Linked DNA regions of Rhinolophus ferrumequinum. The protein of the gene in region 4 purifies or fractionates together with the protein of the main gene of each other region. This does not show direct contact. Links are inferred from orthologs where the notes say so. Each region holds a gene or a part of one and is shown on either strand. Other genes may lie near its edges.

Region 1 (7,058 bases), on a different chromosome or scaffold from region 4:
GACAAACGCCTGGCCCATCACCCCCCAAACCCTGCACTACCTGCATCCTGTCTAGCCATCAGAGTGCACTGTCACTGTGGCTTTTCTTTTTTATGTTGTCTTCCCCAAACCCCTTATTCTAACAGATCAGGATAACACTGGTCATTTAGACCTCTTACAGAGTTTCTAGGGCTCACACAGAACAGAGATGTAGAGAGAGGAATTACAGAACATGTGCTGAAAACTCCAAGGACAACCACTCTGAGTGTTATTCTAGGTTCTTATGTACCATGGGCTAGAAACAAAATTCTAAGGTAACCGGCTAGAGAGGCTGTCCCCCCTGGGTGCATTAATCAGGAGATTATCCCACCCTTAGTCTCTGTGGACCAATCATGCTAGTGGTTTATTTATAATTTATCTGGGAGGATAGCATGGGGCCAGGGTAGGGAGGGGGAGCATGGATACATAAAGACCACAAAAGCAACACACAAACACACACATCCTAGCCCTCTCTGGAACTCAAGAAGAGAGGAAGGGACTTTAGCCTTCTCCTTGTGGTGTTAGGGAGAGGTGGAGAGTAAGAGAGGCAAGGGGGTAAGTGGGTAGAACCTGCAGGGATGAGGCAGAGGGCTGTGGTGCACAACAGGTATCAGTGTTTGCCATTATAGGCAAGAGGCTGTGACTACCCAGTTGTAAAACTCTTCCTGGTTTGTATTACGAATCACTGTAGTAATGTGGTAATATATATGAGAAGAAAAGGAGCCGATAGAGATATTACAGAAGGGAATATGAGGCCCAGAGGCAGGCTGCATCCCCTAGAGAAATGGGGAGGGAGGAGGACAGAATTGGTGTCTGATGGCTCTATATAGGGGAATCTTCTTGAAAGGAGGTATGCCCACATTATGGTATCTTAAAAGAGCTGCCTCCTCTCCTCCAGGTGAAGAACACAAGGCTCATTGTTGGTATGCAGAATAATCATGGAGGAGGGTTTGCATAAATAAATGGGGCCCAATCTTGAAGTCAAGAGAAGTTAATGAGGAAGACCGCAGCTTTGCAAAGTAGGAGCTACAGCCTGCACACCACAATGGATGTGGCAAAAGCGTGGACCAGGGAGTTAAGCTGGGCAGGAGCTGGTGGGAAGACTCATCAGCATCACTGGTGGTCTGCTTGGAAGCAAAGGGATACTGATTTCCTGAAGCAAGCTTTGCCTCTCCTGAACTCATTCTTCCTTGCCAGTTCTCCAGTTCTGTGGCTCCTAGAGGAGGGGAGAATCATCTGGTCAGGCTCTTTCTCTAGAGAAGTGAGATCAGAAGGGCAATGCAGAGATGGTATGAGGTTCGTCCCACTCACTTCTGGTCAGGAAGGGCCCCTCCTAGGAGGAAGTTCCGGTTTCTCTTCAACCTGTCCCACTGCCATAGGTCTTGGACTTGTGTGAAAAAGGCACATGAGAGCGGAGGAAGACATTACCTCTGGCTTGGGGGCCAAGGGGCAGCAAGGCAGTGGTGCTGGGACATTAGTTTTCACTCATGGAAAGGGAAAAGTGACAGACCTGTGGGCTCAGGTTCTCTGAGGGCCAAAGAGTTTTAAGACGGCACTCTCCAGCTTTCTCAGGCTCAGTCCCCGTGTGCCTGCAGGGTAGGCACAGTTAGGGAAGGGAATGGATATGTTGGGACGCTACCTTGTGGCATAATTGAATGACGAAGGCATCCTAGAATGTTGACTTGTACACGGGGAGGGGAAGATGGTAAATATTATACAACAAAGGTTTTTTTGGAGGGGAGTGGGGAATAGGGCCTCCATGCGATGAGGATGGGAGCAGTTGAAAGTATTATGAGACTTCAGGACACAAAATGAGAAACTGGCTGAAACATATGGGACATTGAGGGTAAGCAGAATTTGGTGTTCAAGAATGAGGATAATAATTCTGGCATGCTGATAAATCTCTCAAGAAGGAAGCACATGATGATACAGAATTTCAGTATTAGAAATGCTGGATGCATGAACATTGCTTTCCAATCAAAATCCTTTAGTATGTAGGGAACAGATAGATTATCTTGACTATCCATCTGTTTTGGAATACCTTCTAGCCTCTGGAAAGACCACCAAGAACGTCTACTGGAGTGCGATCTCTCCTGGGATTTGTTTCATTCTCTGTAACAGGAAATTGGGAACTAACACTTAGTTCTTCTCACTTGACACCAGACATTCTATCTGGCCTCATAGTTTGATTTATACTTCTTGGAAGGAGGAACTTATGGCCCTTGCATTCCCCATGGTGCCCAGCTCTGTGCCTTGCTAGGTATTCTGTCAACATCTATTGAATGAATGTGAGTAGCAGTGAGTAGAGGGAGAGCAGGTATTGTCTGTTTGTATGTATATAGCAGGATCCTCATCCCATCATGATGGGATGGATGTTCATCCATCAGAGTGCAATAGGGGTGTTGATGAATGGAGCACCTAACTCAGGAGATGGGGTGGGTGGGGAGAGGGCTGCTGGAATTTTGAGAAATAGTCTTTAGATGGGAGTTTGTAATTATTATGGGATGCTTGGGGTGAATTAAACTTTCACTTGGGGTGAATTAAATTCGCTTGGGGTGAATGTAAACATGTAAATGGCTCATCCGGCCAGCATGGTATTTGGTTGGTCTTACTCAAAACTTAAGAGCTGGAGGTAAGTGTCCGGAGAAACCTGAAGTTTGGTGGACTTTAGTAGGGACCTAGGTTGACTGGCAGTTCCTGAGTATCTGGAAAGGTAGGGTCTCTCATAGACATCAAGAGGCTTTATGCTAGGATACTGCTTTGGTCCAGAAAGGGATAAAGGTGTGTACAAGTTGAGGCAGGGACAGGGCAGTGTACGTAGCTTGTTTTCACCCTGGCTGCTCTAAGTGTTAGAATACATTGACAGCATCTGGAGATGGGGGAGGTATGAATAGTATGGGATGCCTGGCTGGAAAGGTATAGAGGTGGTGGAGTGGAGATGAAGCATTATGGGATGTGGTAGTGGGTTGTGCTGGGAATATTATGGTATGTTTGGTTGACTATGGACTCCTTGAAGTTATTATGGGATGTCAGGTTATGGGTGGGGAGTAAAAATTATGGAATACCTTTCCAGTATTAGAGAAAAGGAGATTAGATGTCTGTAGGGTGACAAAACTGCAGATCATTATGGGATATCTCTTTGATGGGGAAGAGTGCTTACCGTGTTTTCCTGAAAATAAGACTGGGTCTTATATTAATTTTTGCTCCAAAAGACGTATCAGGGCTTATGTTCAGGGGATGTCATCCTGAAAAATCATGGTAGGGCTTATCTTCTGGTTAGGTCTTATTTTTGGGGAAACACGGTATTATGGGCTGTGGAAATATATTGAGTGTGTGAAGGCTGAGGGTGGTGGTGAGAGGATCTAGACCCTAGCCTGCAGGGGTTGAGGGCAGCTCCAGGGGGTTGATTATTATGGGATGTCAGTATAGAAAGTGGGAGACTGATTATTACGGGATGTGTGTGGGAGGAGGCCCAAGTGTCCGTTGTTGCAGTGTGTGTGTGGTGGTGGGGGGGGTGAGTTTCTGACTATTATGGGATATCAAACTGGGGGTGGATGCAGAGTGGTTATTATGGGATGTCTGTGGGGGATGGGGATGAGTATTATGGGATGTGAGGCTGAAGTGCTGGGTGGGGTGCTTATTATGGGATGGCCACGGGGAGGGAGAGGTGACGAATTATTATGGGATGTTAGCATTAGGGCCAAGAGTGAAGAAGTTGGCAAAGGATGGCTATTATGGGATGTGGGGGGGGAAGGGTTAGTTGCAGAAGGTCTGCAATATTATAAGATGTCAACAGCTCTGGCATATATGTGTGTATGAGTGTGTGTGTTGGGGGGGGTGTCCATGTGTATTATGGGATGGCCAGGAGGTGGGTGGTTGCCCGGGTGACGCGCGCGCGCGCTCGAAGGGGGCGTGGCCAATGGTTGCCAGAGCGACGAGGGGGCGGGGGTTGCCCGGGAGACCTAGGGAGGAGGGTGGCGGTAGTGGAGGGGGGTTGGAGTTGGTTGAGGTTATTATGGGCTGTCCGTGGGGGGCGGGGCCTGTGCGGTGGGATTTCCCGGCCGGTGTTTCGGGCCCTTTAAGAGGCGACGCCGGAGCCGGAGCCATTTTCCCCCCTTCGGCCGCGGCGAGGAGGAGCCGAAGCGGGAGTGACACCGGGCCGGACCCTGCGCGACCTGCGGCAGCTCCGGGGTGAGGAGAGCGCGGGGTTCCCAAAGAGACGCCCCTCTCAGCCCGGCCAGCCCCGAGGGTCATCCTTCCACCCGCCCCTTTCTCAGGCGTCCTCCGACCCGCGGACGGCCCCCTGCCCGGAGGAGCCGACCCTTCCTCTCTCTTCCCTGCTGGGTGTCTAGCCCCCTTCCTCCCACCCCAACCCAGTCAGTCTGGCTCCCCGCGACTCCCACCTCGGGCTTGGTCTCCCACAATGCCCGGCGCCCGCCCCCACACCCTCTGCTCACTTGCCCCCCGGGACACGTGGCCCGACCCCCTACCGGGTGGGAGCCCTGTGACCCGTAAGTTCCTGCCTGCAGCCCCCCGGAGCGCCCGAACCTCCACGCCCCCTCGTCCCTGCGGCTCCTTGGGAGAACCTGAGTTGTCCCAGAGGACAGCCTTTGGAGAGCTGCCCTGTCTGGGCACTGGCCCCTCCCCAGGCGCAGGGAGGTGCCCCCCCACCCCCAAGTGACCTTGTGTCCCCGAGCGCCTCGCCGCCGGCCGCCTCCCGTGGCCCCCCCCCGCGCTGCGGCCACTCGGACCCTCCTCCCCCCAGTCACACCCCGTTCGGTCCAGCTGGGCTTCCCCCCCTCGCTCCCCACGGCTGCACCAGCCTGCCCTCGGGGGCGTCGCTGCCTCTCATCTGGGGGGCTCCAGTGGGGTAACCAGCTTCCGGGCTGTCCCCGAGGAGTGTGGAACTAAGTTCAGCCTGAGTGGTTCGGGTGCCCCACTAGGGTGGCTGTGGTGGGGGGGGCCGGTGGTGGTGGTGGTGGTGGTGGTGGTGGGCGGAAAGAGCGGGTGGGGGTGGGGGAGGGGGACTGCGCGTCACTGACTGTTCTCTCTTTCCCCCCCCTCCCCCGCACAGTGACTCGGGCCAGTGTAGAGGGCCCCAGGCCGCAGGCAGGAGCAGCTGGGCCAATTCCCTGGCCGTGAGCGGAGCGGAAGGGGATGGCGTCGGGCCTGGGCTCCCCGTCCCCCTGCTCTGCTGGCAGCGAGGAGGAGGATATGGATGCACTTTTGAACAACAGCCTGCCCCCACCCCACCCAGGTAACATCTTCCCCTAAGGCTCAGTGCAGGAAGGAGGCTTTTGGGCCCTCACGAGTGACTCTAGTGAGGCAGGGCTGAGTTTCTGTCTCTCTCTGCAGAGTCTGAAGTGGAGGGCATCCGAAGGGAGTGGTTCCCCTCTGCAGAGCTCTTGTGGGAGGGGGTGGAAGCCATGTGCCTTCTGGGCTCCGAGGACCCAAATGCAAGCTTTCTGCACTGTCTTAAGGAATGCTATGCAGTTCCCAGTTGAGGGAGCTCTTTGGGCTGGCAGGCCTTACCTCGTGTGGGTCCTTGGAGGAATGCAGGTAGCTGGGACCCCTGGAGGCTGTGGTGGTGGAAGGTAGGGGCTTGAAGATTGCTGTTTTAAACAGACCAGCTCCACATCTGTGCTGGTTAGGATTCTGGGGTTGCTGCTGTGGAAAGGAAAGAGGGAGTGGTGGTTACTCTCTATCTGATTATTTTTAGCTTCTGATCCGTTACCGGTTTTCTGCGCTGTTTCAACTGTGTGAAGTTTGAATTGCGCTCCTTAGCTGGGATCTGGAGAGCTTTTAGCCAGGCAGGTGGCTGGAATGTTTTGAGCGGCGAAATGATGGGGCTTAGGGGTAGGATGTAATAACCTGGACGAAATGCTAGGAGGGGTAAAAGAAGGGAGGTGACACCCTGGGCACCCTCCTCCCTTGGCAAGTGGACATAATCCCCGCTTTTTTTTCCTAGAGGCTTCTCTTCTGCTGTGCAGGTAGCCTGGGGTTTGGGCTGGTGGTGTAAAGTGTTTGTGTAGGTGGTGTTGGGGGTTGTGCTGTCTGTTTTGGGGTGGCTCCTTGAACTGGCCAAACCCGTATGGTTATAACCACTCCGTCTGATTGGAGTAGCCCTTGTTTACCCCCAAATGATAATTGAGGTCATGCTTCTAAGTAGATGTCTCTTTCATCTATCTGTCCTTCAGAGACCCCGGCTAAGTCACCTACTTGTTTCCTTGACCTTTTTTTCCTAGCTTCATTTTGTCTACGGGCCATCTCTTTATCCCCTCTATATTTTTCTTTTCATTCTGGAGACTGCTGGTCCTGTTTTTGTTTCCCATGGAACATCTTTTACTTTTGCCTTTTCTCTCAGCTCTAGTGGCAAGTTGAGGTGGTCTGGGAGAGAAATGTTTCCCCATTTGGCATTTTCTAAGTTGGAAGTCTTTATGTCAACCTTGAGGCCACTTAGGAGAGGGTTCAGTCTTTTTACTGAGTCTTCAGCTGTTGGGATAAGAAACTTAGGTTTGAGTTTCCTCAGTGTACAGGGCAGGGTAGCCGGTTTGTGTAATGTTGCCCAGGGTGGTTGTGGGGTGGTGGTGAGCCTGTCCTTGCTGAGGGGCATGCGAAGTAGTAGTGCCACCGAGCCAATGCTGGTTGCCCGTCTTCGCTTCCCACTGGCCCCTTGGTCTGGGGCTGCCCCTGTGTGGATTAGGAGCTGTATGGGCTCCACAGGTGAACTCTGTCCCAAGCTGTAGTATGACCCAGTTTTTCCACTTGCCACACCCCATTCTTACCCCTTTCCCAAATCCTCTATCGTATTTTAGCCAGTTTGCCGCTTACCTGAGAAGTTTGGGGGGTCTTCAGTGGATGGGAGGGTGTCTCCTCTGCCTCCCTGGGTTTGTCCTTGTGTCCACGTCCAGCGTTTGTGGAGGTGGTGAAGAGGAAGAACCCAGAGTTGTAGCTGACTGGGGCGGGGGGGGGAGGGCAACATGGGATTGTTGGGGCAAAGCCCTTAAAGAAAATGATTCTTTCTGGTGAGATCCAGGCTG
Region 2 (7,939 bases), on a different chromosome or scaffold from region 4:
TCACCATAGTGTTCCTAAAATCCTTCCTTCAGTTTAAGCTAATCTGCAACACCCGAATTTTTTTCCGGCTAAGGCCAGCATGGCCATAGCTAACTACACCAGAGTCCTAGCTAGGCTAGGAGTGTTAGGTGGAGACTAGGAACACTGATTCTTTTTCAACAATTTAGGGTAATGTGTTCCTGATAGTTGTTAGGACTGATGAAATGAAAGTAGGAAATCAAGACAGTGAGATGTAGAGAGAAAACTGTCAAAAAAGGCACAGTGCCCCTCCCCCACTCCAGGTTCACTTCCGTCTCCCCCTCCCCCCACTCCCACCCACCCACCCACCCACACACACACACACACACACACACACACACAAACACCAGAACCTGGCAACTTCCCTAAGCTAATGTTGTCCAAACCTCATGACTGGCCAGATGTGCAGCTGAGCCCAGATCAGCCACTTTATCCTGTGGGGTCTCTGTTTTCCTTCCTTGACCTTTAATACCTATTCTGTGGCCAGCAGCCAGTGGATGTATGGAGTCTGATGTTCAAGGCAGATTCTGTGTTGGAAGATGTCAATTGGAGACTTAATTTAGATAGAAGCTAGGATCCTTGGAAGTGGGTGAGAGCAGAGAAGGAGGAGGGCAAGAAGAGAAGAAACTCTTGGGAGCCACCAACATTTAGGGGAGGAAGGAGGAAGAAAAGCCGGTGAAAGATTGATTAATAGATAGAGGTAACCAAGGACAAGGCCAGGCTGTGTTCTCATAGTCTGGTGAGAGGGGAGTGGCTGGGATGAATGAATGGGATTGGGAACTAGGTTCAAGAGTGGCCCTTGGGGCAGGGACTGACAGAAGGGGCATGCGTGGGAGGTGAAGGAAGAGGCAGCAGGCAGCTGGGGCTGTCGCCAACCGAATATGGCCCCCCTTTTCTCTCATGTGCCAGGCCTCTGATTACTGTTTCATTGGAACAAAGGAACCTGGTGCTTTACAATAAAATTAGCTGATACACAAAAGGAAACACTTTGAAAACAAAGTCAGGTAAACTGGGGAACATAGTGTTTTATCTACTTTCTAGATTTGGGCTAGAAGTGGCCCAGAGGGGTAAGTTAATGCTCAGTGAGGGGAAGACGTTTCAAGGCAGTGAATGGCAATCTCCAAACCCACTACAAGATTCCAAGCCTCCAAAGCTATCCGGAAAGCAGAAGCATAGAATATGTACACCCTAAGCCTGAAAAATGGAGTTTCTTCACACAGTGGGTCCTTCTGCCTGTCCTGGCTCCTCAGACTGCAGCACCAGGGAGAGGCGTCGCATTTCAGTGGCCCGGCCATAGGATTAAGAAGAAAAGGTCTGAGAACTTGACTAAATGCCAGGCATACTTTAATCTCCCAACAGCCCAATGCTGTAGGAATACTTAGTTTACAGACAAGAAGATTGAAAAGATAAATGACTTGCCAAAGACATCCAGCTAGGAAGTGGCTAAATGGATTTTGACCAATAGCTTGAGCTTTTCCCCTTGAACGTACCTATAGGATGCTTTGGGTTGGGGGTGGGGACCAAGCCTCATGCCCCTCATCTGGATATTCCCAAATTGGCAATGGTCTATAGCTGGCAGAGGCTCTGTCAGCAGGGCACTGGCAGTGACACCCTTTTTACAATCACTGACGTGCAGGCCTCAACATCTCAGCCACCTACCATAAGCACCCTAAAGAACTGAATCCTTTCTGTGAATGACTGTGTGAGAGAGAGAGAGAGAGAGAGAGAGAGAGACGTGTGAGGCATGGTGACTGAAGGTGTGACAGTTTTGAGTATATGTGAGCTGAAGACACTGTATGTGCTTGGAAGACAGATCTTGCTTCTTCAAGGATAATATTTGTGGAAGGGCCAGAAATCATTTGGAATGATCTGGGAACAAACTACTTTTAGAGTTCAGAAGGGTAGAGCAAGAGGGGAGGCTGTTTTCCTCCAGACACCTCAGCCTGGTCACGGGCCTAGTGTGTACAGACAACATATGGGGGAATGGATAAAGCTCAGGCTTTGGGCCCAGACAGTCTTGGCTACTTGACTTGAACAAGTCACTCTACTACTCTGACCCTCAGTTTGCTCAACTACAAATAGGATAGTAATCCCTAACTCACACAAAGGAGGCCTCCTGGGACTCAGAACCTGGCTTCTCAGTGTGACCTCTCCAAGGAAGGCCCTCACCCACATCCACTCGCTGGTTTGTCCTCACTGACAGTGTAGGGCATAGGTAGGGTGGATGCAAACTTAGGTGCAGCTGGAGGGCTCATGTCGCCAAATCAAATGCTTTCCCAGAGCCTGGTCCTCACTGCTATGCAGGCATCAGTGTACTGAGTCAGAAACAATTGCTGTCTCCTTTCCAAGGGGCCTCCTTTGCCTGACTGCTGGGCACTGGGGGCTCCGAGGTGAATTAGTGGTTGTCCTACAGGTACACAATCCAGGGGGGTTTCTAGAGGGGATTTCCACCAGGGTGGTGCACACAGAAGGTAGGGAATGTCAGCAAAATCTGGTTATATTGAGTGGGATTAACTATTCTAGTTGTAAATACTCCCTAAGTAACTTCATCCACAGTACACCATGTGCTGTCCAGGCTTACAGTCAAGTGCTTGGGCCTTTGGCCTCCACAGAAGCTCAGAACCTCACGAGGTGTATTAAATATCATTCCATTTGATCTTCATAACGGAGCAAGGATTGCTATGTTATCTTCTTGTACAGCACAGGAGGGTGAGCCACAGATGAGAGACTAAGTGGGAACCATGGGACTCAACTTCTAATGTTCTTTCTGCTCTACCACTCTGTCTCATCTCACATTCACACGGTATCTGTTAGGCCTTCATCTAGGTCACAGCTTCTTGGGAAATAGAGCAGGAATCTGAGACAGGGCCCCAGATATCAGGGGGATCTCTGTTCTGATATAGTCAAAATTGGTTCTCACCCTAGGGAGCCCCCAGTCTGAGAATGGACTTCAACCTCCGTGGCCCTGCCAGGTGCTGGGCCTCCCACTGAATACACAGTCCTCAGCTCCTGGCCTTTCCCCTTCCATACCTTTTCCCTCAATGATTCCACCAAGCTACCACCCAAATTTTAGTCCCCACTTTAGGACACACTGCCCTTCCCTAATCAGTAATTCTTCCCACCTTCCCCCTCTCAGTGTCAAACTTCCCTCCCCATCCGACCCCCAGCCCCATGAACTTTCAGTGGGGAAGGGTTCTTTGAGCCTGTCTTTCAACTCCATTTTCCATCCCCATTTTCCGAGTTGGGGAAACAGGCCCAGAGGGAGGAAGGGACTTGCCAAAGGATGTATCACCAGTTACTGACCACGCTAAATCTAGAACCCAGATTACCTAACCAGTAGCCTCAAGCTCTTCTCCCTCTTCACACAGCAGGACGCTGACCCCTTTCCCTCCACTACCCACACTGAAACAGCCTTGCTTACCGATTGCCACTGTCCTGGTCAAGTCCATATTACAGCTCACCTGAAATGTTGGGACAGCCTAACGGACAGCAGCCCCCATTTTGACCACAGGACTCTAAGGCTCTCACATGCTGCACACACCATCTCATCTACACTTCCTTTCTTTAATAGGTCTTCACTCATTGCGTGTCCTGGCCTCAGGCTCAGCTCTGTTGAGCCTTGCCCCCCAGAAACTCCTTTTGGAAGTTAAGACAAACACTGCAAATGATTCAAGGAAGAATCTGAATCAGAGCTATGACTTGAGGTCTACTGAAGGCTTTCAGGATTGGGTGGCTGGGAGAGACAAAAGAAACCTCTTGACTCCCCCCATTTACCTCTCCCACCAGAAGATGTACCTCTGCAATCTCCAAACCCAGTATTACAACAGCCTTTGTGCCTTACCTTGCTGCCTGTAGGCACCCCTCACTCAACCCACCCTCAGCTGCTGGGATGCTGAGCATCTTACACCACAGTTCTGAGCCTGTAGTCATGTGACCATGCTGCTTGCACATTGTACTGTGCAAGTCCAAGAATTTTAACCAGGTATTAAAGTTTTCTGCCATTTGGTTCCATCTTTCCAACCCTGACTTTCATGACTACAACCACACTGGGAGGCCTTTAACAGTGTCTTGCATTTACTCTTTGGTGCCTGTTGTTGAAAATGACTCGCCCCTCCATTTCTGCCTGATGAAATCATTAAGACCCAACTTGAATGCCACCTCTTCCATAAGACTTTCCCAGTTTTCTCCAGCTAGGAAAAAAATCTCCCTGCTCTGAGCTCCTATGATAAGATATCTAAGATATCTAAGATATCTATACATACATTTCTGCCTTGCTTTAGCTCTTCTGTAGCATCTCCTCAGCCGGGTCTGGAGCCCTGGTAAGGTACACCGTGAGCAGCCTATTCTCTGTAATCGCACCCAGCAGCGGGTGCGACATGAATGTGTCCGCCTCACCCACGGTAAGTGCTCAGACAAGTGCCTGTTGCCCTTAACACAGGACTTACCGCTTACACAGTTCATTTTTAAGGCAGGCGCCTAACAGAATGGGCCATACACGGTTAGGTTACACCGCCAGGGGAGTTGAGACATTCCAGCCAGTCGCTAGGGTGTCTCTATAGCCTCCTTCTACCCCCCCACGTACCGCGCGTGCGTGCGTGCGTGCGTGCCTGTGTGTGTGTGTGTGTGTGTGTGTGTGTGTGTGTGTGTGTGTGTGTGTGTGTGTGTGTGTGTAGGAAGTGGGGGCGGGGTACCCTCACTGGCTCCTCCTCCCAGCCCACCCTGTGGATCAAGTCCTAGAAGGTCTCCCTCCAGTCCAAGAGCCTCAAGAATCTCGAGGCAGCGGTGCTGGAGAGATAGGGTCCTCTCCCACAGATGCGCCTCCCACGCACGGTTAATTTATCTATATATATATTTGTTGGAGGGAGGGGGAGTTCAATGAAGGAAAGAGGTGGGGCGAGGGGAGGAGGCGGGCCGATGGTGACTGACGCGAGCGCTTGGGAGCCAATGGTCCGTGGGGGGCGTTCCCCCCATTCAGGACTCCTCGCCTGGCTCGCAAGGTATGTTAAACAGCTGCTTTTAATTTGGTCTCCCCAATCTCCGCCGTTTGGGGGGCTAGTTCGCCGGGCGGTCGCTTTGGCCGGTCCGACACAGTGCGGGCGCCGCGGGCCCCGAGACGGAGCTTGGGCAGGCTCGGAGTCCGAGGAAGGCAAGGGGCAGGCCAGGAAGGAGAGCTCTTGGCGCCGCCCGCTCGCCAGTGTTTCCCAGCCGAGGGGGCTCCGTGGGGAGGGGGTCGGCCCGGCCCGGGGTAGCCAGTACGCTGACCGTGCTGCCTAGTTTATTTCACCGAGCAGTCAGTTTCGGTAGGTTGCTGTGGCGGACTGGGTAAGGGGGCGGGCAGGAGAGGATCTCCCTATGCTTCTGAAACGCCTTAAAAAAAATTATTGTGAAGGGGGAAAAAAAAAGGACTCCGCACACCGACTGGAACCGGACCGGAGCTGCGGCGCGCGGGCTCGGCAGGGGGCAGCGGCCTGAGCCCTCCGAAGCTGAGTGGGTCGAGAGCTGGAGTTCGCGAGCGAGCTGAGGCCCGCAGCTTTCTCCGCTAACCACGCCGGGCGAGTGCGGCAGCCGCCCCGAGGGTTTCGTTTCTATCCGCAAACTTGTCGGAAGGGGCGGTGGGCGCGCTCCGGGGAGGCGCGGGCGCCGCGGGCCCGCGGTTGTTATGGACTCTGGGGGCGGGGAAACGCAGGCCTGGCAGGAGGGGCGGCCGGGGGCGGGGAGGCCACCGGAAAGAGCCCCTCGCGTAGGTCTAGGCGTTCCGAATTCGTGGGCCGTGGTGGTAGAGCCGGCCTTCGGCCCATGAACCAGTCAGGCCGCGAGCCCGCGCGGAACTCGGCCCGGCGGTGTGGAAAAGCTCCAGCAACTCGGCGGCTTCGACCCTTGCTACAGCTGATCCCACAAACAAGGAGCTGCTTCCCTCCCCGCCCACTCCAAGGCGGCGGGGGCGGGGGCGCGGGCGTGCGAGCGCGCCCACGAGGGGGTGGCCTGAAAGGGGCAGTGAAGGTCGGAAACTGGGAAAACAGTCTCCACGCTCGGACTCGGGAAAAGGAAATGCATCAGCGGGAGGGGAGGGGCGCGCCTGTCAGCCGGGATGGCGGCCGCGGGCTGGGAGGTGGGGCTCCGGCGCGAACCGCTGCCGTCAGTCGGAACGCCTCCGGGCGAGGAGTAGGGGCCCGAGCCCCCAGAGCGCCCGGCCGCTCCGTCATCCACTGCTTGGCCTATCCTGTTTACTACGTATCTACTCCGACGACGGCTTGTGCAACTGGCGCGGAGAACTGGGGGGCGGAGCTTTTCCTGTCTTCCACCCACCTTGGACTCTTCTAGAGGGCCCGCCTTCTCTTGTCTTCCACTGGTTGGGCGCGGCTCCCTTTTATTCTTCTCGGTTATCTATTGGATGACATTCTCCCGAGTTCCGCCTATCGGAGGCCGGGCTGGAGTTTAAGTTGCTAGGATTTTTTTCCGTGAAGGGCGGAGGGAGGATTCCTGCGGCTTACGAGACACGCAAGGTTCCGCCCCTACTTCTGATTGGTGGGATGTCGTCCCGCCTCCGGCGTAGCGAGCTTGGAGGGGGAAGTCCACCCCTGCCTCCCGCCCCCTTCCCGGGTTGTATGAGCTGTAGGCACACGTGTGAGACCCGCCTTGCTTCTTCGAACTGTCCTCCCGCCCGGAAGTACCGGACTTGGAGCCTTTGGCGAGGCGGGGCGGGGAGAGCCGAGATAACAATGATCCTCCAAGGCTCGAGATCTAGTAGCCTTTGCGATGAAGTTAGGGGTTGAGGGTGTGGAGTGTATTTTAGGGGCTTAGAGCTTTGTGTTCTGCAGGGGGTGGTATCTGTCCTGCCGGGCCGAGTACTAAAGTTCTGACTGCGGCCTGGCTATTCCCGCGCCCCTTGACTTCCCAAAGATCGCCCTGAGCTCAAGCTTGAGAACGCTACGGACGCTGACAGTGTGTTTTCTTACCAGAGCAAGGCAACCGCTGTCCTTAGCTGGCTTTATCTAAAACTAAGCAATCTAGGATTGGCCTGGATGCCTTAGGCTGGATCCAGGGCAACTCATCCCTTGTTGACAGAGAAGTCAGGAGGCCAAGGGGGGGGGAGAGGGGGAGGAGGCGCGGTGGCCGAATCCTGCTTGGGTTCGCAGTGGTTCTTGATATGAGGTGGGAGCGCCGTGGTGCACCCAGTCCAGGGAGTGGAGACGACCCAGAGTTAAAGGTAGCCCCTGGTCTGTTCTGCAGAAGCGCCAGTCCTTCGAAACCTCCGGGGGATTTGGCCCGGGGTTCGCTTTAGTTGGTATTACTTATTTTTAGAGTTCTGTCCTGGGGCAGGGCTTGGCTCCCGGCAAGGCTGCTCCCATTTGTCGGCTGCTCGTGGGGTTCACAGTTAGCTGCCTTGTCCTTGCGGCTGGAAGCCACCCTTGCAGTCAGGCCCACCTGTTGCCAGCGCTGGCTTCTGCGTCTCCGCTTTGCGTAGGGAGGACAAGATAGGAGGACCGAGATTCCCTGGGGCCTGCCACTTGTGGACTGGGCCTTTTTGCTGGAGAGCGGGAAAACTCTAGTCCCGCCCCCTCCTCTCCTGGCGCTCCGTGAGCGCCCTCCAAAGCAAGGACAGGGTCAGTTCGCTCTATCTGGTGAATAAATAAAAGCAACCTAGGCACTGCAACCACTTTGTGTGTTCGAGGCACTAAAACCTATACAAAGAGGGTCTATGTTCTGCCATTAATATTCGGCCGAGGAGAAGGTGAACAGCCGTTCTTACTATTTTTTGTCCCCAACTCGAATTTTTATCCTTTCTCTGAAGTGTGGGGTGAAGGTTTATGTATGCCATGGCCTGTTTGACCCCCTTCCTCAGTTCTTCGAGTCTGAAGATGCCTCCCTGGAAATCGCAAGTGCCTTACGCTTCACGCTCCGCCTTCCGGAGGCTTGCCAG
Region 3 (7,852 bases), on a different chromosome or scaffold from region 4:
AAAGGTCGAAGATAATTTACCAAAGTTACAAATGTAGAGTTTGGGTCTCTAATTCATAATGGTTCCAAACTTAAAAAAAAAAAAATCCTTATTACCCATACATCAAGTCTATTCATGCACACATCAAAACAAAACCATAAGATTGAAGATCCCAGCAAAACAACCCCTTGAATAATGAGTGACTACAGAAGCTCCCAAAAGTTATTCATCATACAGTAAGGAGACTTAAGGTACTAATGAAAATAGAAACCTTTGAAGGTCACACATTGAGCACTCAGTTCTAACAGAACTGCATTAAATTAGAATCTAAAGCTGAACCTATCTTAATATATGGGTCTTGGATAAATCATGAAGACTGTAAAACAAAGTATTATGACACTTGCTCTTTCATAAACGCATTTAAGAATAATATAAACTGAATTAGTGAGGAATGTCTACACTGTGAACTTAATATGGTGCTAATAAGGGAAAAAGTTTGTAGCTCCAAAATCCAGTCCCTCCCCTTTTCCACAAAAAGATGTCAGAAAACAAAAATTTTCCATTAAGAAATCATATTTAGCTGACGCCTACGTATAATTACCTTGAAGTTTCTCCCTTCCTTTCGTATTGTATACCTGTATGTGAAGTTTACACCTATATCTTAACATTACAAAAAAGAGATGGTTTGAAGCGTTAAGATTGCAAGTGGTATTTAAGAGTAGTCTGAAGGAACCTGATTTAGAAATGTTTAAAAACATTTTCAATTCTCATTTAATGGAATTGCATGAAATTTCACGGAGGCTCTTTTTAAAGGAGCATACAGGTTATCACAGTAAATTCCATCCTAGTTTTCTCAATTCAAATTGAATTCATAATTTTTGTATTTACTGAGCAGATAGCACTCAACTAGGCATTGTATTAGTCAGATTACTCCGCCAAAATATTACACTTCCTATTAAAAAACGGTTCGCTTTGTGACTCCCCAGGACATCAGGTAATAACTATCCATTGTAGGCCTCTAAAAATGCTTGTTAAACCAAAAGGCAATGCTTACTGGAGGAATCCTGATTGCCAGGATCAGCAAAACGACATTAAAAAGTTAATAGACTCCGTCCTTAAAATATCCCAGGAGAAGAAAAGGAGTGATTCAAACTGTTAGCAGGTGCCCAACGACACTGCACAACAATAGCCTAAGCAAAACTGCCAGAGGTATTTGTAATGAAGAGGTCCAACCTTGACAAAGCATCGTGCAGTGGGGTTTTCATCCTACTAGATGGAAGGATTCAGAAAGCAAACACTCAGGCAAGCAGCGAAAAGCGCCTCCGAGGATAAAGTGCTCAAGCGGCTCCGTCTCGGAGAACGCGTCCAGCGGTTCACGCCATCCAGCTGCGAGCATCTATCCTGCGACAGCGGCGAGGACGACTTAACAGGCCGAAGGAATGACGCGCGGTTCTGTTGGGGGCAAAGGCTCCAACGACACACAGAGGTGGGCGCTGTGAGAAATAAAGCACGAAGCGCTCCTGGGGACAAGAAGAGAACTCTGGGGACAGTCCGAGAAGACGACGGTCTGGAACTTGGAGGTTCGTCCATTTCCATCCTCGCCGGTTTTCCGAATAAAGTGGGCAAACTCACCAGAAGCGGTCAATTTTGAGGACGGACGCATCCCTGCCCTTGACCGGAGGCGACCGCCGACCGAACGTGGTGGAAGCGCAGAGAGGCCGGCGGCGCCGAGCCCGAGAAAGCGCTTCCTCCCTCCCCGAGGCCAGCGCGGCCGCCTGGGCTCTCGGGAGTCGGGGCAGCTGTCGGCGCCAGACCCGACCCGGGCGGGCAGAGCCGCCGCGGCCGCTTCCCCCGCGGGCCCGGGCGCCGGAAAGTTGCGTGAAGGCAACTCCAGGGCCGCGAGGCCGCCCCCCGCGCGCCCCACAGACTGCGGCACCTCCCGCGTCCTCTCAGCCCCGGGTCCCAGCGCTCCGGGGAGGCGAAGGGGCCTCGGCCCGCCAAGCCGGCCGGGTCAGGAGGACAAGAGGGTCACCAGCGGGCGGGCGGGCGGGCGGGCGGGCGACCCCCGTCGTTGGCCCCCACGCGAGCCGCGCCTCCCGCCAAGTCCGGGCGCTCACGGCCGGCGAGCGCCAGCCGGGCCCGTCACGACGCCAGCGCCCGGACGCTGCGGAGCTCTCCCCCGCGGCCCGCACCCCTCCGACTCCACTCCACCCGGGCCCGACAAGCAGCCCGGGTGCCGCTGAGCGACCCGTAGCCAGGCCGCGGCCCCGCGCCCCTGCCCGCCTCACCTGCGCTCCGCGGCGGCTCCGCACCTCCTCGCCGGCTCCGCGCGCCCCGTCGGGGCACGCACCGACCCCCGGGCCGGGACTCTCCTAGCCGCGGTCACTCGGGACGCGACGGCCACCGTCGCCTGCTCCTGCTCGGCACAAGCCCCAGCGGCGAGCAGAGGGTCGCGGTCAGAGCCCCGCCGAGGCTAAAGGGAATCTCGCCGCCTCCGCAGGCTCTACGACCAAGTCCCTTCACTCGTCCGCGCCGCCCGGAGAAAATGTCACCAGAGGCCGTTCCGCTCGGCGCCTCACTTCCGCCCGGAACCACCGAGCCCGCACCGAGTCAGCTAGAGCGGCCGCTGCGGCGAGAGCCTCTAGGGGCTGGAGAGGGAGGCCGATGGAAAGCCACACAGCGCCCTCTGGCGGAGGGAACCCGCGCTCCTCTCACTGCAGGGTGCCCGGCGAACGGGCACCGGCTGGCTTCCCGGGCTTCTTTCCCGCGCTCCCTCCTTCTGATCAGGCAGCTCCGTTCCAGAAATACCTTTCTCCAGAGTCAGAAAGCCGGTCAATGCAAGCCAAGGACAATGCCCTGAGAAAAGGACGGCGCTCCCTTTCCCGGGCGCTGCTCAGTACTCACCCTACCTGAAGCCTTCCCGAATGAAGCTCGTAGTGTCCGAATGCTCGAGTCACTCCATTAGGGATGCGCAGCCTTCTCTCCTCACTTTTTCGCGGATGCCCAGCGCTTGGCTCTGGGAGACTCGGTCATGCAACTCATGCAATGGCATCAACATCCCGTAAGTTTCTGGAATGGAACCTTGCAGGCCTCGCAGATAGACCGCCACCTGCTGGTGAGACGGGGTGGGCCAGGGACACCCCGCTCCGCCCTTGTGCGCGTTGCAGACGCCCCAAATTCCACCTATGCAGCGTCACTCCCCTGACTGGCAGTTCACCTTGGGAAGGGTGACACACCGGTGCACTCTATGAGTTTTCGAGGCCCTTCCTTGAGGCCCAGGGTCTGGGGAAACGTGCTGGACGCAGGACCCGGCGGGAAGGTGAAGTGGGCACACGCCACTTGGTGGGGTACAGGGCTTCCGAAGGCTGGAAGATGAGGTGCTGAGAACACACCTCTCTACTCAAGATCTGGCCAAGAGGCTGTGCTCTCTAAAAGCAGGGTTTTGATAAATAAATAAATAAATAAATAAATAAGGGCTTGGGAAGAAAATGTTAAAGATCTTGACCTTTTCAGGAGCCATGCGGGGACCTGGGGTGACACTCCCCAAGAGGAAATTCTGAAAATCACAGCGCTGGCGCCACTCAGCCCTTAAAATCAGTCTCCCCTTTTTAAATCAGGCCCTTCAGCTCCCCCCAGTTCACTCATTTAGGCTGACTGCCTACAAGCATGGGCATCCCTGACTAAATAAATAAATTGATAAAATAATTTTATAGTAATAGCTAACTTTCATTGAATGCCTACTATATGCCAGGCACTGTACTATGCATTTAAATGGATTCATTTATTTAATCCTCTCAACAAACCTATGAGTTTGGTGGTATTATTAGCCCCAAATGACAAAGGTGAAAATGAGACACAAAGTAGGAAAGTGACTTGCCCCAGGTCACACGTCACAATAAGTGTCAAGATTGGATTACCACACAGACAGCCCAACCCTAGAGGCTGCTTTCTCAATCACTACCACCAACTGCCTCTTTGAAATTAACTGAGATCATACCGCATACCATCTACACATTTTGTCTATGTAGGTTATTTCGCTCATTCATTCACTTATGCATATATTTCCCTGCTACTTTAGTCCTCAAGGAATTTGAGAGCCTGTGTAATAGTGACAAGAGTCTAAGCTCTTTCAGGAGAAAAAGAGAATAGAAAAGAACTACTAAGATCATAGCTGTCAGTCTTGGAATGAATTAATTAATGTGGACTAATACATTCAGTTTTTGTTTTTGCCTTTGTTTTTTAATTTTATTGGGGAACAGTGTGTTTTCTCTAGGGCTCATCAGCTCCAGTCGTTTACCTTCAATCTAGTTGTGGAGGGCGCAGCTCAGCTCCAAGTCCAGAGCCATTTTCAATCTTTAGTCGCAGGGGGCACAGCCCTCCATCCCATGTGGGAATTGAACCGGCAACCTTGTTCCGAGCTCGCGCTCTAACCAACTTGAGCCATCTGGCCGCCCTACATTCAGTTTTAAAATAACTCCTTGACAGTCTTATCTGGTCAATACTGTAGAAATACTGAAGTAGGACCCTGACTACTGAGGTACCATCTTGGCTCCTTTTCCTGTTTGATATCAAGTCAATTCCCTACGGTGAGTGGACTCTACATATTTTTGGAGGCTAGAGCATTTGATATCCTAATTACTATTATCCCTATTACTGCCATATTTAGATTGCCAATAAGGCAATTGCTTTCTTCTTCCTCTCTATAGGAGCATGAAGGGCTGAGGAGATGATCCTGCTGCCGCCTTAGATTTATCTCCTAGAATCTCCTGTGCATCACATACTCAGCTCTCCCAACTCCTGAAATCCCATTTCCATAAAACCAGCCCAGCCCAGACACCACCCGTATCACCAGCACCTTTACCAACTCCCTCTATCCCATGGCCGCTACAGAAATTTCTATTAAGAATACTCTGCTCACAGACATTGTCCTATCGACATGTGCACCCCTTGGCCTCTCTGCAGTGTTACTACTGAATCATATCAGCGGTTCTCTCAACTTCTGTCCTAAGCCCTACAGGCCCAGGTCAAGCCCATCAGCATCATTGTTTGCATCTGATGCACCTGCAGGGCTGGGCCTGCAGCAGATGCTATTAGAAGTGGTGGACTAACCGGTAGCATCAGAGTGAGTTGCCCCTGCTTTGACTATTCTGTATACTCTGTTCCCTCCTGATGGAGCAGGTTACTATAAGGCAGCTGAATGGGGGATGGAGGCACGGATAACCTTCTCTGCACTGAGATGGCCACGTATGCTCAGACAAGTCACCTCTTCCAGAGTTAACATTACCGGCTTGGCCTCAGAGCATCCGTTATTCCACAGAATTTAATCACGTCTCCATATGAAAGGCCACCCAGAGCATTCTAAGGATTCCAAATAGCAGAAGGTGACCTGGCCATCAGGACCAGGGGCTCTGGAGTCCAACAGATCTGAATTTGGATCTGGTTCTGCCTCACTTCTGTAACCTCGCAGAGCCTCAGCGTTCTCCTGTGTCAAACACAGGTGATCCCTGATACTGCTGTGGACGGAAGACATGTTCAGACCTGAGGAGAACTTTCATGAGTTTACGTGAGCCAAACTGAGGACAATTGCCGGGAAGCACAATCTCAACAGATTAAGAAAATTCTCTGGAGAATGGCTGTTTTGCAGCTTATTTTATACATTAGAATCAAAGGAAGAGACATAAGGAGGGTTACATGAAATCCATTGGGGGTAGATTAATTGCCGCGATGGTCAGATATAGCTGAGTGAACATATCCGAAATTTTTACACATAAAAATAATGTCATTTATACACAAAGCAGCTCAAATTGTTATTATTAAATGCATAAAATAGTCAAAATATCAACTTTTTGTTTATTTTTGGATTTCTGACACATTTTGAAAAAAAAACCTTGAAATCAATTAACACAGCAAAAGAGCTAAGGGGGTGGGAGAAAGCAGAGCAGGAAAATCTCTGGGATTGGATAAAAAGTAAAATGGAGAGATGCATACTTCTCTTACATTGGTGGGTATAGGATAGTTAATAATTAACACTTTACAGCACATAGAGATGGTGTTCCGGGTACAAGATAACAGTGAGGGGTTCTATAGTCTGTCTGCTCTGGTGCTGGTGGGTTGTGCCTTCAGGGGTCCAGAAAAAGGAAGTACTCTGACATTCCAGGGCATGCTATCTTAGATGCAAAAAAGACAATAGACAGGCTGACTTAAGGTAAACATTGACCTTTGTCAAGGAAGCTACAGGCCAAGGATGTGACTACCTGCCATGATCCACTCTTAGTTAGGAATTACTATGTTCACACCATTCTATGTGGTTAATTTCAGTCTCTGAGTTTGTAGGGCCTGCCATGCTGGCCTCCCCCGAGTTTGTCACGTTTAGTATGTGGCCCCTTTTTTATCCACACTACCTTGTAGGATCTTGTGAGGAGTGAGGGTGAAATGAGTCAAATGTGTAAAGCTCTCAGGCCAGCTCTTGGCTTAGAAAACACTCTATAAAAAGGACCACTGTTCTGATGGCCGACACGCCAAGCCAGCACCTCCAACAGGCACAGACTCACACTGGTCAGTACAGTGGCACTGCCATCTCAACTGAGTCATTTTTCAAGAGCAACAGGTCATGTGGAACCAGAACAGAGCAGGACAGAAGGATGTCATGAACGTGGAGCCACGTGGTGGCTGAGGGTTGGTGAGGCAGAAAAAGGGTTAATAAAAGTGAGCCTGAAGGAAGACTGCCCAGGCCTGTATCCCCTCCCCAGGAACTGCCCAGGCTTTAGAAATAAATCAAGATGTCCAAACACCCTTAGAAAAAAGAAAGAAGACCCTAACCAGAGTAAGTTGGTTCTTGATGCCTACACAAACTGCTGGAACCTGTCCGTTATTTGAACTCTAGCCTCATTATAATACAATGAAAATAAAATGAACGTTAAGGCTTGCCCCCCACCCTGCGGGTTTTTCTGTAAGAAATGGGTAAGAGCATGCACAGAAAGAAAACTAATTATATAACCAACATATGCCAATCAAATGACCTCAGTCTATACGTCACATCTCCTGCTGTAAGGAACTGCACCTACCCTCTCCTATATCAGAAAAAGCTAACCTAAAGTGAGGTGCAGTTTTCTAAGACTCTGCCCCTGCAGCCCCTCCTGCCGCCCCCGCCGGTGTTTCTCTCCTTACTGCCTGGGACAGGCTGGCTTCTTTAAACACGGACAATGTCTGTCTGCCTGACCTTCAGTAAAACTTCCCTTGCTCTCCTCATTTCAGGTTGAGTCTGTGAATTCCTTCACCTTTTGCAAATGAACAGCGGTTAATTCCAACGACACAAGGGTGAGTGAGAGAGACGCCTCCCTCAGCTCCCTCCATTCTCTGGGATGGATAATCCAAGCTCCTCCATCTTGGGCTCCAAGTTCTTTCCAGCCACGGGATCCCCCTGACACCCCTTCTCTATGTAAAGTCTGTAACTTCTAATAAAAACTAGAAATAAAAGCAAAGGACAGCTTAAAATTTTTCAACAAGTATATATTATTGGTCTTTCATCTTTCAATGAAAAAAATAGCTCTATGACACAGCATCAGACCTTGGGGGACCTCCGGGGTAGGCGGGGTGAGGGCTCCTCTGACACCCCATTTAAACTAGCACGCCCACAGCCCATCACAGCATTGTTTGTTCCCTTCCCAACACTGGCCCTCCTGAGTACCTGTTGTGCGTATTCTTCTTTCTCATCCATCTGACACCCCAGACCATAGGACACGGGTTGTTCTGCTCTGCGGTACACGGATGTGAATGGAGGAAGTCCGTCTAAGCATCTGGGTGGGAAGACACAGAAACCTGAAAGGATGTCAAAACAAGGAAGTGGTGCAGGTGCCAAATAGGTGAGAGCTGG
Region 4 (7,382 bases):
TATCATTCTGACCTCTGCTTCCATCATCACGTCTACTTCTCTGACTCTCCTGTCTCCCTCTTTCTCTTATAAGGACCCTTGTGATTATATTAAACACATCTGGGCAATCCAGAGTAATCTCTCCATCTCAAAATCCCTAATTTGATCACAACTGTGGTCTCTTTTTCCATGTAAGGAACATATTCATGTATTCACAGGTTACAGAGATTAGGAAACAGGTATCTTTGGGGAACAAGGCGGGGAGGGTGGTATTATTCCGCTTACCACTATTACTTGTGTAACTTTCAAAAAAAAACCCACTTATTAAAAAACCTTATATAATAAGCTTTTTCTCATCACCAAAAATTCCTGATAATCATAATTTTTAATGATGCCTAATAGTTCGCTATAGGTACATAACACAATTTATCTAACTGGTCCCAATAAGGGATATTTAAGTTGTTTTACATTTTTATGATTAAAGATGATGATTTTTATGATGAATGTCTTTGGGTCTTTGGGGGTGTGTATTGAGTCAGAAAGGGATTCAGGAAATGGACTGAGTGGTCAGAAAGACCTGAGTTCAAATCCAGCTCCACCTCAATTATCCGTGGCATTAGAGTCTCAATGTCCTCAACTGCAGAACGGGGATCCTTGCAATAGCTCCAATCTCATGGAATTTGTTGTTGTTGTTGTTGGAAACGAACAGCCTTTTTATTTTTTTATTTTTTCATAGAATTTTTAAAACAGCTCCCTTGAGATACAATTCACATACCATATAATTCACTCATTTAAAGTGTAAATTCAATGGGTTTCAGCCTCAGGGTGTTTGCAGGTTTCAATGATACTGAACACACAAATTGTCACCTCTGTTAATAATTCTTTGGTCATAATCAACGTTATTTTCTTAGTCTAGGTTCTTAGAACCAGCAATACAGGATAAAAGCCCAGAAACCTCTCAAACAGTTTTGAAAGTGGGCCTTATGAAGATAGAAAGTATTCTTCTGAGAATTTAAAAGTTTTGTTTTGTTTTGTTTTGGGGGGGTGTTTGGATAGACTTTGGGGGCATAAAATTGTTGGGCTATTTGACTCACGATGCCCTCTTTTATCCCCCTTATGTAACCCTAAATTATAATCACCCTACACACAGAATACACCCAGAATAATTAGGGGAAGTCGATTCGGGTTCACTGAACCTCCCTGCCCTGTCACCCACTCCTGCAGAGCCGTCGGCCTATTCCTCTCCATAGGCCACTGAGACTTCCTCCTTCAGTGAGGGTGGCATTGGTGCCATCTCCAATTGCCCATCTTAATTCACGCCAAGTACACTCATGGAGGGCTGGAAGGAAGACTAGGAAGTGGGTCTCCTCCAATTTCATGGGGTGCCCAACCAACCTACCTACCAACAAACCATAAAAACACACTCCATTTGGCCGTGGGAGGACTGCCAGTGGATTTCAGGGCTGAATTAACGAAGTGTCAGCTAAATCCAGGAGCCTGTTGTACCAGAGTGACGTGTGGGTGAATCCTTAGGCATCACGGCAGGTGTGGGAGCAGGTTGCGTGAGATGGGTGTGGGTTAGGTGGTGAGGATGAAAGGAAGGTGCAGGGAGGGTAGATGGAGGCAGAGGTGGGCGAGGGTGATGGTGAGGAATGGGGCCCTGGCTGGGGTTGGACCTAGTAGTTAGACCAGTGGTTTGGAACCATTTTTGGGTCATGGCCTCCTTTGAGAATTTGATGGATCCTAAGTAAAGAATGCACCCACCCACCCACCCACACACACACACACACATCCACAAATTTTGCACAGTGTTGGGGGTTCCTGGAACCCAGAAAGCTCATCCAAGAGCTCAGTATTAAGAACCTCTGGGCTAGACTAGTTCACAGGGACTTGTCAGAAAGAAATCCTAAGGCTCGTTAAAACCTTGAGACTGTGTGTGCGAGAGATTTGAGAGGTTTGCAGGTTTGGGAATTAAATTCCAAAGTCCACTTATTCTACAAATGCTTTGTTTTCTTCCATTTTTTATTTTGAAAAATCTTCAAATCTGCCAAAAAGTTGCAAACTCATGTAGTCTGTAACTACGTTTTCCACTTGTCAACATTTATCCCTAAATGCATCCCTCTCCCCACGTATGCCTGTGCTGTCAGGCAGGAACACATGTTTTTCTGTAGAACCAATAGAGTAAGCTGCAAGATACTATGATACTTCTTCCCTAAACGTTTGGCATGTAACTCTTAAGATCAAGAGATTATCCTGCATAACCACAAGAGAACCCTCACACAACATTTAACATGGACAACTATCATGTAATAGGCGTATTCTATTCAAATTCCCCCAGTAATACCAATAGTGTCTTTTTAGCTGTATTCTTTCTACTTCCCCTTTTTCCTCCTTCTTGCCCTCCCTTCCTGCCTTTCTCATCCAGGATTAAATCCAGAATTATACACTTCTTTTAGTCATATCTGTCAGGCTCCTTCAATCAAAGACACTACTTCAGAGATTTGTTTTCTCTTGTGACATTGATATTTTTTTTAATAGTCCAGGCTAGATGGTTTGTAGAATGTCCCCCAGTTTGGATTTGTCTGATTGGGTCCTTGTGATGAGATTCAAGTTAGGCATTTTCGTCAGATGTCATGTCCCTTCTCGATATATCACATCAGAAGGCCAGAGGTCCCTTACTGATGGTAAGTTTGATTTATGGTTAAAGTGGGGACCTCCAGGTTCCCTTTTGGAATTGATAAGTGGGTAACACTGTAAGACTGTTTTGAAAGTCTCCAACTGTGGCAAATTCTGGGGGAGCCAGAGGTGAGCATCCAGATCCAGTCCTTGCTCTCATGCTGTTTTTACTGCGGAGGAGACAGACAATAATCTAGGAAACAAGTAAATAATTACAAAATATGCTCTTGTCTTCAGGATATGGATAGGGTGCTGAGATAGAGAAGTATCAACTCTAACATTTAAAGTGAACTTAAAGGTGAGACTTGAAAAGGAATAAGGAGTCAGGCATGGGAAGGTAGGAGTGGAGGTGGTGGAAGTGGTCAAGCTTGGAGTTGGAAGGAACCAAAAGATGGGCTTCTGGTGGTCTCAGGGAGGGAAAAGCGATAAAAGAAAGGCTCTGGTCTTGTAATAATAATATTGTGCATTTGGTATCTGCTAGACCCTGTTCTAAGTGTTTTGTACGGTTTACCTTGTCTAATTCTCCCCATAACCTTGGGAAGTAGGTGCCATTCCTGTTTTTATGCCATAAAATCCACAGCACAGAGAGGTTAAGTCATTGACCCAAGGTCACACAGCCTGTAAGTGGTAGAGCTGAAATTCAAACCTGGATGGATCTGACTCCACGATCTCTACTCTAAACTATGTCAAGAAGGAGGAAGCAGGAAAAGCAAGAAAACAGAATGTGGAAAATAACTGGAGTCAGAGCAACCCAGGCTGAGTATGGAAGTTCTGTTGATAAAGGATTTAGAATGGGAACACAAGACCACAGAAAGCCCCATAAGATCAAAGAGAGAAGAATTTTAACGGCTAGGAGACAACATAATAATATAGGCCAAAGTTGGGTTGCCCATCCTGCTCTCAGTCCATGCACAACCTCCAGCTTGTCCCTTCATGGGACTCTCACAATTCTTCCCCTGCTCTTCATCCTCCCCCACAAAAATCAGGGTATTTACATGGTCTCCAGTGTCTCCCCATAAATCGCTTTTTAATTACAAAGGGAAAAATAGGAACTTGACAAGAAGCAACCTGGCTGACTCCAGCTTGACCAAGTGATGGAACTGAACATTCAGAGGGGTCTTAGACAAGGCTCTGGAAGAAAAATCTGGGGTAAAGTGTAAGAGAAGGATTTTTTGAGGAAGGCTCTGGATGAAGAGAGGAGTCGTGTTGGAGGAAACGATGGGTGACTGGGCAGGATCCAACCGGGAAGAGGGGGTGTCTCTGGGAGGGATGGAGAAATCTTGAGGTGGGGAGGTTCTGAGTGATAAGAGCGAGTCATCATCGGAGAGGGACTTGATGGGAACAGTTTGGGTGACAGGAGGTCAGCACAGGGTCCGTTCAGTAGGGAGGTCGGGGTGAGTAAGCTCTGGACGACTACAGGGTGGAGGGCTTAGGACAGGCGTCTCCAGGACAGTCCTGAAAGGGTATACGAGGGGTGAGGCTCTTAGGCAGCAATCTGTGGGTGGGGGAGGCCCTGTGAGCTCGTCCCGCCAGACTGAGGGTGGAGAGCTTTAAAAGTGGGGGTCTGGGCGGCGGGAGCCGGGGGCGGGGCCGAGGGCGGGACCAGCACCGCACGGCGGGTCCCCCCGCGCTGCAGGGGGCGCTGTGAGCCTGGGCGGCCCCGGGCCGGGCGGTGGCCGCTCCTAGTGAGCGCGGCCCTTTTCCGGGTTCCCTCCTCCTCCTCCTCCTTCTTCTCCTCCTCCTGGTCGCTGCCGTCGCTGCTGCCCCTTTCCCGGCCGGCGGCTGCCGCTGCTGGTGCTGCCGCCGCCGCCGCCGCCGCCTTGGGGCCGCGAGCCCAGCGGAGGCCGCCGCGGAGCGTGAGCGCCGCCCGCCCCACCGCCCCGCCGGCCGCTCCAGGGCCGGGCCGGCTCGGCCGGCGCCCCCCGCGCCCCCAGCCCGCCCGCCCCCGCGGGCTCGGCCTGGCGTGGCCGCCCGCCGCCGCGCTCCTCCTCCTCCTCCGGCGCCCCGCGGCCCGCCGCCTGCTCCGGCCGCCGCCCCGCGCCCCTCGCCGCGCGGCCGCCCTCGGCGCCCCGCGGCGCTCCCCGGTCCCGCCCGCCATGCCCGGCCCGGCCGCGGGCAGCAGGGCCCGGGTCTACGCCGAGGTGAACAGCCTGAGGAGCCGCGAGTACTGGGACTATGAGGCTCACATCCCGAGCTGGGGGTAAAGCAGCCGCCGTCCCCCGCCGGGTCCTCTCCCCCCCACCCCGCCCGGCCGCTCCCCGGCGCAAACCGCACTCGCCCCCGGGCGGTCTGGCTGCCCGCGGGCCCCTCTGCTGGTCCGGCGTGTCCTCGGATCTGGGGTGGGAGGCAGAGCCTTGCCCTTGTCTCCCTCTCCCTGCCGTGCCCCCCCCCCCGGACCCCAAGGAATGCTTTCTCTCTGGGGAGAAGTGTTGGGTCCAGGGCCTGGTGGAAGGGAGGGAGCAGCCCTTCTCACACGTTTGGCTTTTTATTGGGGTGGGAAATCAGCAGCTGTCCTCTTGAGCTATTCGAATTTTCTGCTTTTTTAGTTTTTTTTGAAATGAGGCTGGGTGGGAGGAAATTTTTAAAAGACGTCCAGATACTCAAAGCTGGCGCTGTCTTAAGGGTGTGAAATAGAAGGCAGGTGTCGCGGCGCGCCGGGCAGAGGGCTGCCCTCGGAGCCTCCGGGGTAGATGCTTTGCTCCCCCGTCTAGATTGGCACCGAGCAGTGCCTTCCTCCTTCATCTCCACAAGTTACCAGGGACCAATTAGGTGAGGAGCTCTGAGCAGAGTGAAAGGAGCCAAGTTTATGTTGTGGCGTTCTTTTAGGGAAATGAGTTGTGGCGTGATGGATACACATGTCCAAGTGCTTGGTTTATAGAAGTAGCTGGATGGGGATGTAGAGTGAGCATAGGCTTGGTTAATCCCAACTCCTGGCATTGATGTTTCTCTCTTGCCTTTTACAGTAATCAAGAAGATTACCAACTGGTTCGAAAACTTGGTCGGGGGAAGTATAGTGAAGTGTTTGAGGCCATTAACATCACCAACAATGAGAGAGTGGTGGTAAAAATTCTCAAGGTGAGTGTCTTACGAGTGGCATTACATTTTTTACCCCCTCCACAGGTCAGAAGGATACAAATTACCCCAGCCACATTCTAGAATGAGCAATTCAAGCTCCCATTTTACGTATCTTCTGTCTGATGTACCCCCACTACTCCTCCCACCCTATTTTCCTGTGAACTTTCAAGAAAATACGCGGACCTGTTTCAAATTGAGGCAGGATCGCTCGGCAGCATCCTTGTTGGAAATGTATTAGGTTGGTGCAAAAGTAATTGCGATTTAAAAGGTTACAAATACTTGCAAAAACCGCAATTTTGCACTAATCTAATAATTACAGCTCCCAAAGTGAATATTCTGAGGGGGCTCCACTTGTTACAAAGTAAGTAGGTGTTCAGAAGAAAGAATAGCCTTTCCATGAAGATCCATCATTCCAAGGGCTCCTTGAGCACTATTTGGTTACTCTTGGTGCCCTTAGTTATCCCAGAAGGAATGTTGGAAAAAATGGGAGCTGCTCCAAAGATGAGTTTGCAGCCTGAGTAGAGGGAAACATCTCAGTGGATAATCACTTGTTTCTTCTTCTTTGGCAACAGAAGTTTCAGGTGGGTAGGTGTAGTGAGCCACTAGTGCCAGAAGGTTCATTGTTGATTATCAGCCAGTAGAAGTGAAATTGGGAGCAGTAGATGAGTGCACTTTTCACTGCTGAAATAATAATTGGAATAAAACAGTCTTAGTGTTTGGTCGAGTAGCATGTTGGACCTTTTGTCGTCTCTTAGATGAAGATACGATCTCTTTTTTCTTTTTTTGAAGACATGATCTTAATGAGCGTGAAGAGTTGGCTAAATTTTCCTCAGGTAACTGATTGTGTAGCTTTAACCATATTTTATAGGTTGTCCTAAAAAGTAATTATTAGAATCTGTGAAGTGTCCTCAGCATTGCCAGATCATTTAATATGTGTGCATGTAATTTATGAAATATTGAGAAGACCAAAGAGTAATCTAAGCACTTCTACAGGTACAAGATTTCCAATGTGGCCATTTTACAGAATTTTCTGTGAATAAGAATTTGGGGTTGAAACACTTTGTGTCTGAAGGATGGAGTTAGGGTAGCTGTGTCCCTGTTTAATATGAGAGGTCAAGCTTATACTGTCTGAAAAATCACCTTTTAGAAAACTGATCAACTCTTAGTACCATCCAAGCCTAGTGATGAAGAAGCAGAGTTGCAATAGAGAGAAATAAGTTCTTCGTACTGTCAGAAACACGGGGGGTAAGAAGTGAGAAACTGATGTTGAAGATGTGGTGTTTGACTCCCCTCTTCCCTAAATATGAATGGTACTTACAAAGTCACATGGTCTTTACAAATGTAAATATTTAAAGAAATGTTCCTTTCAGAGAGGCCACCTGGGGAAATCATACAATTTTTTTCCTTTGTACATTAGTGTAAATGTTTTTAGTATAAGCTGCTTAAAATCTTTCTAGGAAGTAAGCAAGGCATAAATGAAATTAGAAATATCTGTATTCTGTTGCTGTGCATTCAGAAGAATGAACTGCTTACTCTAAAGCAAATCCGGAAAATTGTCTAAAGTTTTTAGAATACATGCAATTTCCTGTGGTCTTTTTTGAAAGGAACAGTGTCCAGGTGTACACGTAAGTAACAGTACATTCATTTAGGAA

What was found.
Region 1: the proteins of CSNK2A2 (region 4) and CHD4 purify together in Homo sapiens (affinity purification with mass spectrometry; 4 studies listed by BioGRID and IntAct, with this or other methods). This does not show direct contact. The link is inferred for Rhinolophus ferrumequinum from reciprocal best matches to the Homo sapiens genes CSNK2A2 and CHD4.
Region 2: the proteins of CSNK2A2 (region 4) and SIN3A purify together in Homo sapiens (affinity purification with mass spectrometry; 3 studies listed by BioGRID and IntAct, with this or other methods). This does not show direct contact. The link is inferred for Rhinolophus ferrumequinum from reciprocal best matches to the Homo sapiens genes CSNK2A2 and SIN3A.
Region 3: the proteins of CSNK2A2 (region 4) and ARK2N purify together in Homo sapiens (affinity purification with mass spectrometry; 6 studies listed by BioGRID and IntAct, counting the BioPlex papers as one, with this or other methods). This does not show direct contact. The link is inferred for Rhinolophus ferrumequinum from reciprocal best matches to the Homo sapiens genes CSNK2A2 and ARK2N.

Annotation. Positions count from the first base shown.
Region 1 is NC_046293.1:23,841,664-23,848,721, reverse strand, and holds the start of CHD4 (chromodomain-helicase-DNA-binding protein 4), read left to right. Parts: upstream 1-4,055; 5' UTR 4,056-4,209; intron 4,210-5,092; 5' UTR 5,093-5,175; coding exon 5,176-5,275; intron 5,276-5,550; exon of another isoform or gene 5,551-5,682; intron 5,683-6,849; exon of another isoform or gene 6,850-6,979; intron 6,980-7,058. UniProt on the Homo sapiens protein: ATP-dependent chromatin-remodeling factor that binds and distorts nucleosomal DNA. Acts as a component of the histone deacetylase NuRD complex which participates in the remodeling of chromatin.
Region 2 is NC_046289.1:99,846,801-99,854,739, reverse strand, and holds the start of SIN3A (paired amphipathic helix protein Sin3a), read left to right. Parts: upstream 1-4,925; 5' UTR 4,926-5,015; intron 5,016-7,939. UniProt on the Homo sapiens protein: Acts as a transcriptional repressor. Corepressor for REST. Interacts with MXI1 to repress MYC responsive genes and antagonize MYC oncogenic activities. Also interacts with MXD1-MAX heterodimers to repress transcription by tethering SIN3A to DNA.
Region 3 is NC_046302.1:38,048,919-38,056,770, reverse strand, and holds the start of ARK2N (protein C18orf25 homolog), read right to left. Parts: upstream 3,009-7,852; 5' UTR 2,884-3,008; intron 2,555-2,883; exon of another isoform or gene 2,268-2,554; intron 1,235-2,267; exon of another isoform or gene 1,213-1,234; intron 1-1,212. UniProt on the Homo sapiens protein: AMPK substrate important for exercise capacity and skeletal muscle function.
Region 4 is NC_046298.1:10,605,850-10,613,231, reverse strand, and holds the start of CSNK2A2 (casein kinase II subunit alpha'), read left to right. Parts: upstream 1-4,381; 5' UTR 4,382-4,751; coding exon 4,752-4,855; intron 4,856-5,618; coding exon 5,619-5,730; intron 5,731-7,382.